Tribolium castaneum: one gene and its partner. Each later gene encodes a partner of the first gene's protein in a complex. Links are inferred from orthologs where the notes say so. Each region holds a gene or a part of one and is shown in the gene's direction. Other genes may lie near its edges.

The links. Proteins that work in one complex are often made in the same cells at the same time.
Region 2: the proteins of ND-PDSW (region 1) and NP15.6 are in contact, whole or in part, in a cryo-EM structure (PDB 8BA0), measured with the Drosophila melanogaster proteins. The link is inferred for Tribolium castaneum from reciprocal best matches to the Drosophila melanogaster genes ND-PDSW and NP15.6. Residues at the interface, in NP_651972.1 of Drosophila melanogaster: Trp40, His42, Gln43, Phe45, Thr50, Ile51, Asp52, Ala65, Phe69, Arg70, Arg71, Met74, Val75, Glu78, Ile79, Ile82, Leu83, Arg86, Ala112, Asn115, Trp116, Ile118, Lys119, Ala129, Tyr133, Gln136, Lys137, His138, Arg139, Leu140; in NP_650774.1 of Drosophila melanogaster: Gln101, Phe102, Arg103, Trp105, Ala106, Gln107, Arg108, Glu109, Gly110, Phe111, Leu112, Glu113, Leu114, Val125, Ser126, Pro127, Asn128, Tyr129, Val130, Asp131, Pro132, Ser134, Ile135, Thr136, Leu137, Pro138, Leu143, Glu147, Ile148, Ile149.

The regions. Positions count from the first base shown.
Region 1 is NC_087399.1:6,556,850-6,560,955, reverse strand, and holds the start of ND-PDSW (NADH dehydrogenase [ubiquinone] 1 beta subcomplex subunit 10), read left to right. Parts: upstream 1-1,306; 5' UTR 1,307-1,481; coding exon 1,482-1,569; intron 1,570-4,040; coding exon 4,041-4,106. Other genes in the region: dco (casein kinase I), read right to left, coding at 224-715, 784-859.
Region 2 is NC_087395.1:21,576,971-21,579,533, reverse strand, and holds NP15.6 (NADH dehydrogenase [ubiquinone] 1 beta subcomplex subunit 11, mitochondrial), read left to right. Parts: upstream 1-1,486; 5' UTR 1,487-1,561; coding exon 1,562-1,984; 3' UTR 1,985-2,063; downstream 2,064-2,563. Other genes in the region: coenzyme Q-binding protein COQ10 homolog B, mitochondrial, read left to right, coding at 839-918, 964-1,417.

The DNA.
Region 1 (4,106 bases):
TTTTTTTCCAATAAATTTTCTTCCAGATAATTGTTCAGCATGCGCACCTTTGCCTTAATTTAACCGACCTGTATCTCTTATAATAACTGAGTTCCCATGGTGGAGCTCAAAAAACAGACACCTGTATATAAAAAATGCAAGTTTTTTCACAACACTTTGATTTAAAGGCTTATTTGACGCAAACATTGTTCCGCAATTGTTACGAAAGTCGGCCTTGGCTCACCTGTTAGATTTTTGTTTTCTCGGTAGGGTATGTGCTGGTGGGTCCGTCCGTCCCTGTATTTTTTCGCTAGCCCAAAGTCGATTATATAAACTAAGTTACCCTTTTTGCCCAAACCCATGAGGAAGTTGTCGGGTTTGATGTCGCGGTGGATGAAGTTCCGCGAGTGGATGAAGTCAGTACGTGATATTAATTGGTCGGCTAGGAGGAGAACTGTTTTCAGGGAGAAACGACGTGAACAAAAATTAAATAAGTCTTCTAAGGATGGTCCGAGGAGCTCCATCACCATGACGTTGTAGTCACCTTCCGAGCCGCACCATTTCATTTGGGGGATCCCCACTGGAACAGAGTGAATTTTGGGACTTTTTGGGGCCTCATACCTACCTCCCCCCTGCATCATTTTGTAAAATTTCGACTCTATGTGGAGCTGCGGGTGCCTCGTTTTGATGCATTCTAGCTTAATTGCGACCTCCTCCCCCGTGGAAATATTGGTACCTGCGAAATGGGCAAAATCGTGGTACTTTGGGTCCTTTGTTTACAGTGGAATTTCGGACGCGCCTCACCTAAATATATGTCCCCGAAGGACCCGGAGCCTATCTTGCGCCCTAGTCTGTACTTATTGCCCACTCTAAGCTCCATTCCACCTCACTTCACACAACAAAAGACATGAAATGCTGTCGTACTTCAGGCGGCCATATTAGCCATAGATATTAGCCAACTATCATAGGAAATTTGACGTAACTAGAAGGCTTAGAAATTCGTTTGTTTATTTTTAGGGAATTTACAGCTAGCGGTTGGGGTGTTTAGAATTTCACAATTATCACAGATTCGTCAAAAACGCAAAACAAGAACGATTAATTTTGCAATTTCGCGTTTCATTATGGCCTTTTGGTGACACACCACACGAAACAACTGAGAAATAGACGGCCAGCTTGCGCCACTGGGCTCATCACAGACGCGACCTTGGACGTCACGTATCACCAAACAATAAACACGGGCCCGAACGTACGTCGGGACTCGATCGGCCGCTCAATTGTCACGTCGCCAACTTCACACCATTCCGTTTTTTAATTACGCACAATTAAAACACAAAACACGAATCGTAATTAATCCGATTGAAATTACAATGACCAGTCGTTAATTCGGCTTAATTAGGGGGAAATTGCCAAATTGTGATTATCCAACTCGTGGCCAACTTCACGCCGTAGTCACCAACTGTCATAGGGTTCAAGCTTAAAATATTTAATTTCGAAAAATAACAATGCCAGAAGTGGAGCCCCGAAATATTGTCGAGAAATTCTTCAATTCCGTTGCCAATGTTCTAGTGACGCCGACGGTTTGGGTTCGGGGTAAGTTGCCCCAACTAACCTCAAACTTGTGGTTGCCCCTTGAGTGAGCAAACGTTCTGGTTTTACCAGGACATGTTCGCGATTTTTAGATAATGTTTTGGTTTAAATAGGCAGTCCAGCTCTGTCTTGGCCCTTTACATTTTGTCCCGGTTATGGTTTTATGAGCGGTTATGGCTCAAAACATTTTTTTAATTAAATCAAAATATGCAGTGAAGATTTTATTTTGCTGAACATTGGGGCTTCTGTGGAACTGTATGCAATGGGTTGACATGGATTTTTTAAAACTGAACATACAATTAACAGTTTTGTGTGTTATGTAATGATCATTGAAATAAACTCTATATCAAACAGGGTGACCCCATGAAATCTCCAGTCTTGTCCAAGTTTGGAAAAAATGCTAAAACAGGTCAATTTTAGTTTAAAGGGGGACCAAATTTTATCCTAGTTTTAACATATTTCTGCAAACCTCTGATTTTTTCGTTTTAGTGATTTTAGTTTAATAAAAACAGGAATAAAAACATGATTTTTGGTCCAAAAACGTGTTTCAATCCTCAGAGCTTGCAAAAATAATATCATTTTCGTCATATTTCTGTGATTTATTGGCTAACTTTTTAAGAAAATTTGCGCAATAATTGAGTTTTTGCTGAATAAACACTTAAAAAAGGTAATTTTTTGATCATTTTCGACCAAATTTGGCGATTTTTTCGTTCTAGTTTAATAAGAACAGGAAGAAAAACTTGTGGTCTAAAAACGTGTTTAAATCTTCAGAACTTGCAAAAATAATGCCATTTTTGACATAATTCTGTGATTTATTGGCTTATTTTTTAAGAAATTTTGTGCAATAATTGAGTTTTTGTTGAATAAACGTTTAGAAAAAGTTAATTTTTGGTCATTTTCGACCAAATTTGGTGATTTTTTTGTTTTAGTTTAATAACAACAGAAAGGATAACTTAATTTTTGGTCTGAAACCTTGTTTAAATCCTTAGAACTTGCAAACATAATGTCATCTTTGTCGTAATTCTGTGATTTATTGGCTTATTTTTTGAAAAATTTTGTGCAATAATTGAGTTTTTGCTGAATAAACGCTGAGAAAAGGTAAATTTTTGGTCATTTTTGACCAAATTTTGTGATTTTTTCGTTTTAGTTTAATAACAACAGAAAGGATAACTTGATTTTTGGTCTAAAACCTTGTTTAAATACAGAACTTGCAAAATTGCAAAAATAATATGATTTTTGTCATAATTCTGCGATTTATTGGCTTACTTTTTAAGAAATTTCGTGCAATAATTGAGTTTTTGTTGAATTAACGTTTAGAAAAGGTAAATTTTTGGTCATTTTCGACCAAATTTAGTAATTTTTTCGTTCTAGTTTAATAAAAATAGAAAGAAAAACATTATTTTCGGTCTAAAAATGTGTTTGAATCCTCAGAACTTGCCATTTTTATCATAATTTGTGATTTATTGGGTTATTTTTTAAGAAATTTTGTGCAATAATTGAGTTTTTGCTGAATAAACGTTTAGAAAAGGTAAATTTTTGGTCATTTTCGACCAAATTTAGTAATTTTTTCGTTCTAGTTTAATACAAATAGGAAGAAAAATATGATTTTCGGTCTAAAAATGTTTTTAAATCCTCAAAACTTGCAAAAATAATGCCATTTTTGTAATAATTATGTGATTTATTGGGTTATTTTTTGAGAAATTTTGTGCAATATTGAGTTTTTGCTGAATAAACGCTGAGAAAAAGTAAATTTTTGGTCATTTTAGACCAAATTTGGTGATTTTTTTCTTTTTAGTTTAATTAAAAAATTAAGAAAAACATGATTTTCGGTCTAAAAATGTGTTTGAATCCTCAAAACTTGCCATTTTTGTCATAATTTGTGATTTATTGGCTTATTTTTTAAGAAATTTTGTGCAATAATTGAGTTTTTGTTGAATAAACGTTTAGAAAAAGTAAATTTTTGGTCATTTTCGACCAAATTTACTAATTTTTTCGTTCTAGTTTAATAAAAATAGGAAGAAAAATATGATTTTTGGTCTAAAAATGTGTTTAAATCCTCAGAACTTGCAAAAGTAATGTCATTTTTGTCATAATTTGTGATTTATTGGCTTATTTTTTTTTTAAATTTTGTGCAATAATTGAGTTTTTGTTGAATAAACGTTTAGAAAAGGTGAATTTTTTGTAATTTTCGACCAAATTTGGCGATTTTTTCGTTCTAGTTTAATAAAAACAAGATAATCTTGATTTTTTGTTTAAAAACGTGTTTACAACAAGAAGGCCATGGCACATAGCACATTTGATTTTTATTTTTTTCAATAATTTTTATTTTAACTTAAGATGCGAATAACTCTGCAGGGGAATTCTTTTTCTAAACATTTTGTATGTAGGACACCCCTTAAAATCACTTGTAGAACACGCTCTTGAAAGGAATGCATTTATTTCGCTAACACCCTGTATAATCACAATTTTTTTAGAAAAGATCGTGGAACCCAACCAGCAGAGCTACCCATGGTACCACCAGAAGTTCCGTCGGGTGCCCA
Region 2 (2,563 bases), on another chromosome or scaffold:
GGTATTGAATTTAATAATTTGAGTGCCATATATTGAAACGTATTGTGTATTCTTTATTTTGTATAATATTGATTACAGTAACTTTCATGCAAAAAAGATTGATATTTGTGTTGTATTTTTTCATTACACAAACCAATAATTTCTTTATTCCCTTCATTTTCTAATAATCATTGTTTACCTCGTCCTTGATTCCTTTTTTCCTGGCAAGAATGCTCTAAACCTCCACGTGGTTCTTGCTGGACAAATTACTTAGTAAATTGACCAATTAGAGCAATCCATGATTCTAATAAGTATTGTTTTTTACAGCCGTAAAACTATTATGTTAAAACACCTCTTATATTCTTATATTGCAGAGAGCATACGAAATATAGATTTGTCGAAGATGTAACGCAAAGAACAATTTATTTGTTGAATGCATGTATTTTATAGATGGTTTTAGATTTGTACGATTTCACTAGAGATGTGTTCTGTTACTTCATTTTCTGTTGGTAACAAATTCTAGACGTGAATTTTTCTAGATCTGTTACCAACATAAAATACAACTCGCCAAAAGAAAATGTTTGCACCTTGGCCATAAATTAGCCATGACTCAAAACAGCTTTTTAAGCAATTTTGAAAAACCAGGTTTCCAAATTTTCCAAAGTACGTGCTTCTTTTCGGAAATAAACCGAGGTGAGGCACCAACCCCAACAGGCGAAACTCACTAAAATGGCAACTAGAACGGTGTTATGTCAGAAAATAAATTCAATTCCCATAAAAATGAATTGTTTGTGATAATTGACTTATCCGAAATAATCATGACACTAATTAACGATTAATTAAAACCAAAGTGCCAATAATGCGAGTCGTCACACGATACTTGCACTTCTTCAAACTTCCGGACAAAAAACGCGAATATTTCGCTAGAAAACTCGTGGGGTGAGCTAAATATCCAACTGGCTTGCTTTAATTACTTCATTTCAGCTTCTCGACTAGTCAGATGTACAAAGTGGTGGCTGATGTGAAAAATTACAAGAAGTTTGTACCTTTCTGCACCAAATCTGTGATCTTATCTCAAGAACCGTCCGTTTTACGGGCGAACCTAGAAGTGGGCTTCCCCCCGGTTATTGAAAACTACACCTCGGTTGTCTCGTTACGTGAACCTGAACTAGTCAGTGCTGTTTGTAAAGATGGGAGGTTGTTTCACGTCTTGGAGACGACTTGGAAGTTCAGTCCCGGCCTCCGGAGCAACCCCCAGTCTTGCATCATAGATTTCTACATCAATTTTGAGTTTAAATCAGCGCTTTATTCCAAATTAGCGATATTCTTCTTTGACCAGCTGGTGCACCAAATGGAGGATGCGTTCATAAAGGAGGCGCAGAGGCGGTACGGCAAGGAGTCGCTGCCCGTGCACCCCCTTGAGCCAGTGAGGACTTGACCATAGTTTGTTATTGTTTTACAATTTTATTTTAATAAATTATTTTATTCAAATCTGGGGATTTTGATATTGCGTCAGAGTGACAGATGACATAACACCACACCTAACCTCAAATTAAGCAGTTCGAGTTTTATTTACGTAAAAATGGCAGGGTTAATACTCCAGCGTAGTTTATTCCGAAAAATCTTGCCTACGATCAACCGGAGGTTGGTCTCGACGTCGAAGAAAACGAACGAGACCGCCGTAGCCGACGCGGTCAAAACCGAGAAAGTCGAGCACAAAAACTGGGTGTCTTACGGCTTTGATGCAAAGGGCAAAGAGAGCGATAGGACGGCAATGCACTCGATTATGTTCGCTTCTGTTACGCTTTGTCTGGTCTGTGGGGGCTATTTCATGATGTACGCGCCAGACTACAACCTGAAGGATTGGTCCCAAAGAGAGGCTTTCCTGGAGCTGCGCAGGAGGGAGAAGATGGGGCTGCCGCTGGTCGACCCCAATTTAATAGACCCCGCCAAGATACAACTGCCATCAGACGAGGAATTAGGAGATACCGAAATAATTATCTAAGCGATTTTAGACAAGTTCAAGTAAGGGCAAGATTCAACTTGTAAATATTTATACTTAAGTTAAATAAAAAGTACAAAAAAAAACTACTGGCTTTTCTGTTCTCTCCAATGTTACCTACACATCCTACATTATACAAAATCTATTTTAGATTCAACTTTGCGTCTTTTCAAAAATTCTTTTAAAGTTTCATTTACAGTTTTTCTTATTTATTAAAAGATTCCTCTCATATTCTTTACAAAGTCGTTTCTGAATAGAGCTGCTCTTCTTTAGATTATGATTTTATTAAACTGTCTTCATAGTTTCTTTTATAAATTCATTAGTCTTCTTTGAAATTATTTTGAAGACATTACTTATATTCATTTCATCATTTTTCAACAATCTCCAAGTTGCGTTTTCAACATTCTGGTGGGGGTAGTGAGGGTAAAATGAAGCGGCGTTGGTTGGTTTTGTTATTTTGTATATTTAACCAAAAACGTACTTTGGTATACAAGCACTTAAATTAGAACATCATATAATGGCAAAACGTCAAATTATCGTAAAATTACGCAAAGTTCACAAACCTATATAATGCGTGAAACC